3 linked regions of the Stegostoma tigrinum genome follow. The protein of the gene in region 3 interacts with the protein of the main gene of each other region in a biochemical or structural test. Links are inferred from orthologs where the notes say so. Each region holds a gene or a part of one and is shown on either strand. Other genes may lie near its edges.

Region 1 (3,750 bases), on a different chromosome or scaffold from region 3:
GATAAAGGTATTTGAATGGCCTCAACTTTGTGGAAACTAAAACGTATAGGACTGACCAGAATTAGGTTGGAATTGTCAAGGCTGGACATACTAAAGGCATGGATGAGGGTTTCAGCAACAATGCTCTGAGACAGATCAATCAGACAATGTCACAGAGGCAAAAATAAAACTATTACAATACAAATACATACAAAGTACATACTGGGTAATCCTCAGATGATAAATAAAAACCGAAAAAAAAAAAAATTACAGATGCTGTAAATCAGGAAAAACAAAGTTGCTGGAAAAGCTCAGCAGATCAAACAGCATCTGTGAAGGAAAAACAGAGTTAATGTTTCGGGTCCAGTAAGGAACGGTCACCAGACCCGAAACTTTAACTGTTTTTTATCTTCACAGATCCTGCCAGACCCGCTGAGCTTTTCTAGCAACTTTGTTTTTAATCCTCAGATGGTTATCAGGTGAGGAACAGAGTGGGTGAAAACCAAAGATCATAGTTTGGTGTCCCTAACATCTATTCATTCAGTACTGAATATCAAACAAGGTACTTTATACATAAGAAAGTTACAGACCTCAGGACAAACTGGTCCTCTTACAACTTCTTTAGTATTATCACTTGTATCAGCTCTGATCACTGATTCACAATGGCTTTCTGTTAAACAACAAACATCCTCATTTTCAAATCTCTCTGTGACCTTTCCTATTCCTATCAGTTTAATGTCCAGCCCCACAACTGTCAAATAGCCATGGTAATCAAATTCTAGCCTCTGGCATTGACTGCTGGCATCTGTGGAAAAGCCTGCCTCCTTAAGCTGACCAGTTAGAACATAGAACAATACAGCGCAAACAGGCCCTTTGGCCCTCGATGTTGCACTGAGCTGTGAACTAATCTAAGCCCATCCCCCTACACTATCCCGTCATCATCCATCTGCTTATCCAAGGACTGTTTAAATGCCCCTAATGTGGCTGAATTAACTACATTGGCAGGCAGGGCATTCCACGCCCTTACCACTCTCTGAGTAAAGAACCTGCCTCTGACATCTGTCTTAAATCTATCACCCCTCAATTTTTAGCTATGCCCCCTTGTACAAGCTGACGTCATCATCCTCGGAAAAAAACTCTCACTGTCCACTCTATCTGTTCTGCAAATAATATATGCACAATTTGTGGATCATTACACATAACATTGCTGATACTCCCATGATTAAATATTTCTTCAATGTTCCAAAATAATCATTTAACTATTCAAACAATTAAAAGTTCAGAAATATATTCAACATAGATTTATTTTATTAAGGCCACTCAACAGACTCACTTTAGTACAAACTACAATGTGAGATCTAACAGTCACAAAAACAGATGTATATCAGTCAGGAAGCACTGGACTTGCCAAAAGTCAAATATGCCAGACTATATTCATGATAACGATCTTTCCAGGAGTTTGGAAATTGGTTGATTATGTTATTGACAAGCATCAAATTAGTTGTTTGGAATATATTCTATCATTTGCGTAAATCAACATGAATCCACCTACTGAAGGAAGTCCCCTAAACGTGCACAAAAGAAATGAGCTACAGCATGAAACAAGGCTAAGTCTTCTGATAGTTCGATAACTTGCAATTTAAAGAAAATACACCGAACTACTTTGGAATACTGCCAGATTTCCATAACTGTCTCCACCCACATGGAAATCAGCTTGGTCTTGGATCTTAAAGGCTTGTTCTCTAACAGTACAAAGCATATTATAAAGCCAATGGTTTTAAAAGTAGCTCACAGTTTAAATGGTCTCACAAGCAATCAGCTTACAGAAAAGAACTATTTGCCGAAGCCTTGCCTTTTGATCTGGGATTGATATAAATACTTAAGCTGTAAAGTTCAATTTTGTCTCCGAATTGAAGTTTAAAGCTCCGTGTAAGAAAAAGAGGGTTGTGTGTGATGTGGTGGGGGGGGGGGGGGGTGTTGGTGGAAGGTTAAGGAGCTGCTGAGAAGGAGCTGGGATGGGAGGCCTGCACAAGCACAGAAATCGCGGACCAGGAATGGAAGAACTTGCAAATACAAAAACAAAAATAAAAGCGATTAGGCAACAAAGGAGAAAGAAAGCAAACTCACCAAAAATACTTTGCACGGCGCCTAGAGGGTCGTTGACCCAGTCGTCAACACACGGCATGTTGAGAAGTTGCTGCGGGACAGGGGGAAAGGGGGGGGCAGGGCGGGGGTTGGGGGGGGAGGGAAGTGACCAACGGCGATGGCGGGAAAATCGCGTCATTGACGCAGCCGCTGACCCCTGACCCGCTGCGCCATGACGTACCGGGCCGGTTTCACCTCTGACCCCCACCCGCCCCGCCCCTCATCCCGCTCCGCGGAGCAGCTGGTTACGTGTCGGTGCCGGAGTAAAGATGGCCGACAGGAAAAGCGGCACTAACTTGCTTTTCTCCTCCGACACCGAGTTCAGTTTCCCGGTGCCTTTCATCCCTGTCAGTCAGGCGCAGGCGGCGGACAGCAGCCTTCTCTCAGCGGGTGGGTGAATGAATGAGGCCCGCGGTTGTGTTGAGAGGATGGCAGACAGACTCCCCGGCTCGGGATGGGGGAGGAGGAGGAGGAGTCACTCCAGGGTCGACATCTGGATCCTTGAATTTCATGTTGCTTGGTTGCGAGGGTGTTGGTGTCTGTGATTTGAAGTCTCATCGAGAAGTATTCAGTTCAGCCGTCCACAGGGTTTGGATCCCTTTATCACCTTACACGGGGCGCGGAAGGAGGTTGTGTCACTGAGCAGTCTTTGATTTGAGCCTGACGTGTACTGAAAGAAAATTGAGTGGTCCGATCCTAATAGCAGGTCTATCAAAAAGTCAGCAATTAAAAATACGATGTATGTAATCGGGCTTAGACTCACTTGTGGTTTGTTTAGCCTGCTTGTAGCCCAAGCTACTTTGTGGCGACCTGTACAATATGTATGGCATGATTTTATTTTGTTGGGCATTAACATTCTGCAGCTGTTTTTGTATGATGCCAGATGTCAGAGTTGCTGTACTGGCAATTGTAGCTTAGTAGTAGAAGATTCACCTCCTGAATCTTAGATTGAACATCTAAGTTCTTCTCCGGGGACTTGAGCACAAAATGCAGTTTGGTGTTTCAGTACAGTACTGATTGCATCCTACACCAACAGTAGGTGCTATCTGTTCCGTGGAAAGATAAGCAGAGACTCCACCTACTCTCTTAGATGCATGTAGAAAATCAAATAAGTTTTCACTGCCAATATTTATACTTCATCTAATACCAAGAATGAAACAGTTTTATTGTTATCAAATAGCTGCTTGTAGATCCTTCCATTCTCTACATTTACTCTCTTATTTCCTACATTACAACAACAATCCCAATTTGAATGAGTTTAATTGACTATGAAGTATTTTTAAATCTCCTGAGGTTGTGAGAAGTGCCACATGAATGCAAGACTTTCTATTAACGTGTTTTATTTTGTGAGTGCACAGTGCAGATGAGCTGGATGTACACACATTAGAACAATTGAAATTTGAGGCCAAGTTTTTATATTAAGGCTATCCTCAAACAGATGCACAAACAATAAAATTGACTCCTAGAACTTTAGAATTTTACAGAAATGCCAAAATTGCTCAAATTGTGGAAAGGTGTTTAGGAAAGTTATTGATTTAACTGTAGATGATCACCTTTTTGGTAAATTTAGAAGCCTTGCTCTTGCATGAAGTCATAGCATTAACATTTTCTCCTCGGTTAGGAATT
Region 2 (3,750 bases), on a different chromosome or scaffold from region 3:
CTTGGAGCATCCCACCCAGACCCATCCACTATAACCCACACACCCCCGAACACTACAGGCAATTTAGCATGGCCAATCCACTGAGGCTGCACATCTGTGGGAGGAAACTGGAGCACCTGGAGGAAACCCAGGCAGACACAGGGAGAACATGCAAACTCCACACAGACAGTTGCCCGAGGCTGGATTTGAACCTGGGTCCCTGGCGCTGTGAAGCTGCAGTGCTAACCACTGATCCACCCAGCTGGCAACTCTTGTTAGCATCCAGTGGCTGCACTCAGTTGGAAAACAGTGTATTGGTCCTACCTCTGAATGCAGTCACATTGAGCTGGGGAATCTGAGATAATGGGAACTGCAGATGCTGGAGAATTCCAATATAATAACGTGTGAGGCTGGATGAACACAGCAGGCCAAGCAGCATCTCAGGAGCACAAAAGCTGACGTTACGGGCCTAGACCCTTCAACAGAGAGGGGTATGGGGAGAGGGTTCTGGAATAAATAGGGAGAGAGGGGGAGGCGGAACTGGGGAATCTCATGGCTCCCGCTCCTCTGATCCATGCACATGAAATGCGATTCAGTAATTCTGTTCTTGCTCCATTGATGCATTCCTGCCCTCTGAAAGTTATCAACATCCTCTGCTCATATTTACAATTTTGTTGCAATTAAACTGAATAACTATCCACCTAATTTCCAATTCGATGTGATGAAGTGACCCTGGTCTACCACACGATCAAATCCAGCTGCAGTCGCTGTGTCACTAACCCATTCAGAACAGCGCCAGCTTTGAAACTCCCGCCCGCGCTGACGGCACCGCCAGCCTCAAGCCCCCAGCAGCGCGGTGACGTCATTGCAACGTGTTGACGTTCGCAAGGCGCGAAAATCCATGGGAAGAGCGTTACGCAGAGAGAGTGAGTGTGAAAGACGGAGAGAGAAAGATGGGGGAATGAGTGAGTGAGAGAGAGAGAGGGAGATGGGGGAACAATTCAGTGTGTGTGTGTGGAAGAGAGGTGGGGGAATGGGGTGAGAGAGAGAGAGATGGGGGAATGAGTTGCTGTGTGTGTGAGAGAGAGAGAGATTTTGGAATGAATGAGTGTGTGTGTGTGTGAGAGAGTGTGATGGAGGAATGAGTGACTGTGTCTGAGAGAGAGAGAGATGGGGGAATGAGTGACTGTGTCTGAGAGAGAGAGATGGGGGAATGAGTGACTGTGTCTGAGAGAGAGAGATGGGGGAATGAGTGACTGTGTGTGTGAGAGAGTGTGATGGAGGAATGAGTGACTGTGTCTGAGAGAGAGAGATGGGGGAATGAGTGACTGTGTGTGTGAGAGAGAGAGATGGGGGAATGAGTGACTGTGTGTGTGAGAGAGAGAGATGGGGGAATGAGTGACTGTGTCTGAGAGAGAGAGATGGGGGAATGAGTGACTGTGTGTGTGAGAGAGAGAGATGGGGGAATGGGTGACTGTGTGTGAGAGAGAGAGATGGGGGAATGAGTGACTGTGTGTGTGTGAGAGAGAGAGATGGGGGAATGAGTGACTGTGTCTGAGAGAGAGAGATGGGGGAATGAGTGACTGTGTGTGAGAGAGAGAGATGGGGGAATGAGTGACTGTGTCTGAGAGAGAGAGAGATGCGGGAATGAGTGACTGTGTGTGTGAGAGAGAGAGATGGGGGAATGAGTGACTGTGTGTGTGAGAGAGAGAGATGGGGGAATGAGTGACTGTGTGTGTGAGAGAGAGAGATGGGGGAATGAGTGACTGTGTGTGTGAGAGAGAGAGATGGGGGAATGAGTGACTGTGTGTGTGAGAGAGAGAGATGGGGGAATGAGTGACTGTGTGTGTGAGAGAGAGAGATGGGGGAATGAGTGACTGTGTGTGTGAGAGAGAGAGATGGGGGAATGAGTGACTGTGTGTGTGAGAGAGAGAGATGGGGGAATGAGTGACTGTGTGTGTGAGAGAGAGAGATGGGGGAATGAGTGACTGTGTGTGTGAGAGAGAGAGATGGGGGAATGAGTGACTGTGTGTGAGAGAGAGAGATGGGGGAATGAGTGACTGTGTGTGTGAGAGAGAGAGATGGGGGAATGAGTGACTGTGTGTGTGAGAGAGAGAGATGGGGGAATGAGTGACTGTGTGTGTGAGAGAGAGAGATGGGGGAATGAGTGACTGTGTGTGAGAGAGAGAGATGGGGGAATGAGTGACTGTGTGTGTGAGAGAGAGAGATGGGGGAATGAGTGACTGTGTGTGTGAGAGAGAGAGATGGGGGAATGAGTGACTGTGTGTGTGAGAGAGAGAGATGGGGGAATGAGTGACTGTGTGTGAGAGAGAGAGATGGGGGAATGAGTGACTGTGTGTGTGAGAGAGAGAGATGGGGGAATGAGTGACTGTGTGTGTGAGAGAGAGAGATGGGGGAATGAGTGACTGTGTGTGTGAGAGAGAGAGATGGGGGAATGAGTGACTGTGTGTGTGAGAGAGAGAGATGGGGGAATGAGTGACTGTGTGTGTGAGAGAGAGAGATGGGGGAATGAGTGACTGTGTGTGAGAGAGAGAGAGAGAGAGAGAGAGATGGGGGAATGAGTGACTGTGTGTGTGAGAGAGAGAGAGAGATGGGGGAATGAGTGACTGTGTGTGTGTCTGAGAGAGAGAGAGATGGGGGAATGAGTGACTGTGTGTGTGTCTGAGAGAGAGAGAGATGGGGGAATGAGTGACTGTGTGTGTGTGAGAGAGAGAGAGAGAGATGGGGGAATGAGTGACTGTATGTGTGTGTGAGAGAGAGAGAGAGATGGGGGAATGAGTGACTGTATGTGTGTGTGAGAGAGAGAGAGAGATGGGGGAATGAGTGACTGTATGTGTGTGTGAGAGAGAGAGAGAGATGGGGGAATGAGTGACTGTATGTGTGTGTGAGAGAGAGAGAGAGATGGGGGAATGAGTGACTGTATGTGTGTGTGAGAGAGAGAGAGAGATGGGGGAATGAGTGACTGTATGTGTGTGTGAGAGAGAGAGAGAGATGGGGGAATGAGTGACTGTATGTGTGTGTGAGAGAGAGAGAGAGATGGGGGAATGAGTGACTGTATGTGTGTGTGAGAGAGAGAGAGAGATGGGGGAATGAGTGACTGTATGTGTGTGTGAGAGAGAGAGAGAGATGGGGGAATGAGTGACTGTATGTGTGTGTGAGAGAGAGAGAGAGATGGGGGAATGAGTGACTGTATGTGTGTGTGAGAGAGAGAGAGAGATGGGGGAATGAGTGACTGTATGTGTGTGTGAGAGAGAGAGAGAGATGGGGGAATGAGTGACTGTATGTGTGTGTGAGAGAGATGGGGGAATGAGTGACTGTATGTGTGTGTGAGAGAGAGAGAGAGATGGGGGAATGAGTGACTGTATGTGTGTGTGAGAGAGAGAGAGAGATGGGGGAATGAGTGACTGTATGTGTGTGTGAGAGAGAGAGAGAGATGGGGGAATGAGTGACTGTATGTGTGTGTGAGAGAGAGACAGATGGGGGAAATGAGTGACTGTGTGTGTGTGTCTGAGAGAGAGAGAGATGGGGGAATGAGCAACTGTGTGTGTGAGAGAGAGCGATGGGGGAGATGAGTGACTGTGTCAGAGAGAGATGGGGGATTGATTGACTGTGTGTCTGTGTGTGTGAGAGAAGATGGCGGAATGAGTGACTGTGAGAGAGAGAGAGAGAGAGAGAGAGAGATGGGGGAATCAGTTGCTGTGTGTGTGTGAGAGGGAGAGATGGCGGAATGAGTGACTGTGTCTGAGAGAG
Region 3 (3,750 bases):
ATCAAATAGCTGCATTTACAAATTTAAGAGTATTTAAAAGTCTTTTTTTTTGAAAAATTCCATAGGACCTGTTCTAACTGTAGGCTTTAGTTGTCGCAACGTGATAAGATGATTCACTTAACATCGTTTCATTTAAGGAATGGTGTCAGAAGTGCAACTATAAAATTGAGCCAAGTACTACATAAGTGGTCAGCAGAAACGACTGGATTTATGCTGGCCCCTGTAAGTAAGGAGGAAAATTTGGAAAGGAGGCACAGGTACTTGGCAAAACAGTAGCAGCTCTTTAAATGCAGCCAACACCTCAATTAAAGTGGCTTCATCTCCAAGCGTACGTTCTCCCTACATAAGGTCAGAAAGCACACGACATCAGGTTATAGTCCGAGATAGTAAGAACTGCCGATGCTGTTGTCAGAGATAACACGGTGTGGAGCTGGAGGAGCACAAGCAGACCAGCAGCATCAGAGGAGCAGGGAAGTTTTTCTGAAGAAGGGTCCCGACCCGAAACTTTCCGGCTCCTCTAATGCTGCCTGGCCTGCTGTGCTCCTCCAGTTCCATACTGTGTTATACCAGGTTATAGTCCAACAGGCTTATCTGAAAATACAAGCTTTCACAGCCTCAATCCTACTTCAGGTGTTACCTGATTTCTTGTCCACCCCAGTCCAACACCGGCATCTCCACATCACTCCATTAAACACTTAGAAATAAAATCTTGATTTTGATATGATACAATAGGAGTTTCTTTCTGCACTCAGGGACACCCAACCAGAGGCACTGAAAGTTTGCAGATACCGTGGGAAGGCCGGATACAGCAGCCGTCTCCATTGATCCAGACACTGAGCCTTGGGCGGGCCAAAGGTCTAAAGCCCCGCCTCCTTGGGGGGAGCAGCTGGCGAGGCCCGTGCCCGAAGGCCACGTGATCAGAGGAAGGGCTGGCTGACTGGCCGTTCTCTGGCGGGCAAGCTGGGCACGTGACTTGAAGTGGCGCGAAAACGAAGATCGCGCGCCTGAGGAATCGATCGGTTGCTGTCGTGTACGATTCTTTGTTAATCTGACCGACATTGTTTTCCTCCGAGATGGATCTGGCGGAGACCGCGGTAGGAGCCGCCGGGCAGCCGGTGAAGGATGAGCTGGCGGAGAAATGTCAGAAACTATTCCAGGAATTCCTAGAGGAGTAAGTGGAGTTAGCGGTGAAACTTCTGAGGGTGGGGAGGAGCTAAGGACCGATTCCGGGGCCCTCGTACCAGTAGGGGAGATTGAGGAGATCAATCCCGGACCATCGTTGTGTCACTGGCTGCAGTGTCTTCAGTCCGTGCATGTCGCGTTAGGCCTAGGGTGTGTTTGCGCTCTGAACTGTTGAGCCACACTCACTCCGCGACGTGATTTTCCTCAGCTCGGTCCGTGGTAGGCGGCAGCTGCTGCTGTTGGTACAGCCCAGGGCGCCGAGCCGCAGCGGCTCAGTCAGCGCATCGGCTGTCCTGCTGCACCAGCATCCCCGTCAACAGCACGGAATTATACAGCCGATTGCGCGTTCTTTGTACTGCCAGCTCTTTCCTTCCCCACCCACCCAAAACACCTGAAACAACTTCTCCCGCCTCGTTGGTTTTTACTGAAGTTTTAGCCATCTCCTGGATCCTTTAAACTGCGCTGCCAGCGACACCTGTAGAGGGCGCATGAAGTACGCATGCGTTTGCAATCCAGCGGTGGACAGCCGCTGTCAGTCTCTATCATTTCTGAACGGATTGATTAGATAATGCCAACGATAGTACTAGCCAAAAGTTCTCTGTGATGTAGGGTTCCCTGTTGCCGTCTGTCTGTCTGCTGCCATTCAGACTGCCCAGAGAGCCAGGAGGCTATACCTGAGGGTGCTGTAGCAGCTGTATACCTCACCACCTTGACCACATTCCAGACATGTAGCAGCTACTTCCGGACACTGGGCTTGGTCCTCTGCAAAGGATTCTTCCTAAGAAAGTCCAATGCTTCATAGGCACCCTGGAAAAGCATAGCTCCACGTTAGTTATCCCTACCCTCTGCTTTCTCCTTATCATCAACCAGTAGAAAATAGAGTACGCTCCCACTTGTATCAGATGCACATCACCAGGTGATGAAACAAACATAGAGAATTTGGGAATAAAGCAAAGAGCTATGGATGCCGGCAATCCGAAATAAAAGCAGAAGTTACTGGAGAAACTGAACAAGTATGGCAGCATCTGTGGAGAGACTAAGTGTTGACACATCAAATCCAGAATGACTTCAGAAGTGAAAGATACATAAAAGTGCAAAAAAGTCTTTATGAAGAGGGGTCATACTGGACCCAGAACATCTGTTTCTCCCTTGACACATGCAGTTAGTCCTGCTTAGTTGCTCCAGCATCGCTTTTTTTCCCCCCCTGATTTCCGGTATGTGCAGTATTTTGCTTTTATACACAGTATTATGTCTCTGGACATGCAGATCCTTGCTATGGACTCATGGTTACAGACAGCAAATGCATAGGGACCATTTTGGAGTAATGAATAATCACGCCATTTAAATTTTGTTGCTGTAGTCCAGAAGTTAGCTATTTGGGACCCATTTTTGGCACATTCATAACAATTTCTGGTTTGTTCTGATCATGAGATCCCTGTTACTAGATGACAGTATAATTTTATTAAGCATTGATCTGTTAGTCTCCTTGGTCTTCCAAGTTGAGATTACAAAACGACATTAGAATTCATGTGGACAAACATATCTCCAGACTCTTTAGCACCAAAGCTCTGGTCTCCCAAATCAAACTGCAAATTACTACTTGTTCCCTTTGGCTCATATTTGAAAATTCAGCTCAATTATCCATTGTTCTTAACACCTAAATGGATTTTATTTGGGATCTTGTTCCATAGGTTTTAAGATTATTCCTATGCTACATTTTAGCATTGTTCAGTGGCCAGAATAAGTAAATTCAGGTTGCTATCAGGATTTAAACACACTTTTTTTGTAAGGTGTTTATATAACAAGGAAGAGAGAAGCCAAAGTGAACATTGGCCTTTTAAAGATCAAAACTCCTATGATGAAGATTGAGAGGTTGTTGAAGGAAAAAAAGTCCCTCTTCCATCATCAAGCAAGTTGGAGGAGACAAAATTGTGGTACACATTTCATCAAAATCTGCAAAATGCTACGATATTACCCCACTGAAGATGTCCCTCGCAAAAGGATTAGTCTTGTTACCAAACCTTTCAGCCAGCACAAAAGTTGCCTTTGTGCATCCGTCACACTAGGAACTGTACTTATCATGCTTGCCAGTTGCCATAGGTGTAAGTGTGAGTTTTTTTTCTTCTTTATTCATTCACGGGACGAGGGCGTTGTTGGCTAGGCAGCGTTTGTTGCCCATCCTTAATTGCCCAGAGGGCAGTGAAGAGTCAACCACAATGCTGTGGGTCTGCAGTTAAATGTAGCCAGACTAGGTAAGGCAAAATATCAATTGTTGCTCTTCCGGTTTATGTTTGGCCTCATTCTGACACTGGAGACAGCCAAAGGCAGTCATGTCACCGTGGGAGTGGGAATTAAAATAGCTAGCAACCAGTGGCCTGCTGCTGGTGACTGATCCTTTGGCTCTCAACTGAATTGCAGAGAGCCAACGAGAAGTTTATCATTGCAACATTGACAAAGATTGACCTGTCAGATGTAAAACTTGCCTACCACCTGACTGACTCCCACTTCAAGGAGAAGCTGTTGCGTAGGCCAAAGCACTAAGAGGCTGAGATCTTTCCTGCTGAGAAG

What was found.
Region 1: the proteins of mcm6 (region 3) and mcmbp form a complex in vitro, tested with the Homo sapiens proteins (2 studies listed by BioGRID). The link is inferred for Stegostoma tigrinum from reciprocal best matches to the Homo sapiens genes MCM6 and MCMBP.
Region 2: the proteins of mcm6 (region 3) and chek1 form a complex in vitro, tested with the Homo sapiens proteins (2 studies listed by BioGRID, with this or other methods). The link is inferred for Stegostoma tigrinum from reciprocal best matches to the Homo sapiens genes MCM6 and CHEK1.

Annotation. Positions count from the first base shown.
Region 1 is NC_081373.1:26,240,756-26,244,505, forward strand, and holds the start of mcmbp (mini-chromosome maintenance complex-binding protein), read right to left. Parts: upstream 2,207-3,750; 5' UTR 2,165-2,206; coding exon 2,107-2,164; intron 1-2,106. Other genes in the region: sec23ip (SEC23-interacting protein), read left to right, coding at 2,394-2,514. UniProt on the Homo sapiens protein: Associated component of the MCM complex that acts as a regulator of DNA replication.
Region 2 is NC_081385.1:31,886,009-31,889,758, forward strand, and holds the start of chek1 (serine/threonine-protein kinase Chk1), read left to right. Parts: upstream 1-858; 5' UTR 859-905; intron 906-919; exon of another isoform or gene 920-944; intron 945-3,750. UniProt on the Homo sapiens protein: Serine/threonine-protein kinase which is required for checkpoint-mediated cell cycle arrest and activation of DNA repair in response to the presence of DNA damage or unreplicated DNA.
Region 3 is NC_081360.1:73,159,981-73,163,730, reverse strand, and holds the start of mcm6 (DNA replication licensing factor MCM6), read left to right. Parts: upstream 1-951; 5' UTR 952-1,073; coding exon 1,074-1,171; intron 1,172-3,083; exon of another isoform or gene 3,084-3,282; intron 3,283-3,496; exon of another isoform or gene 3,497-3,750. UniProt on the Homo sapiens protein: Acts as a component of the MCM2-7 complex (MCM complex) which is the replicative helicase essential for 'once per cell cycle' DNA replication initiation and elongation in eukaryotic cells.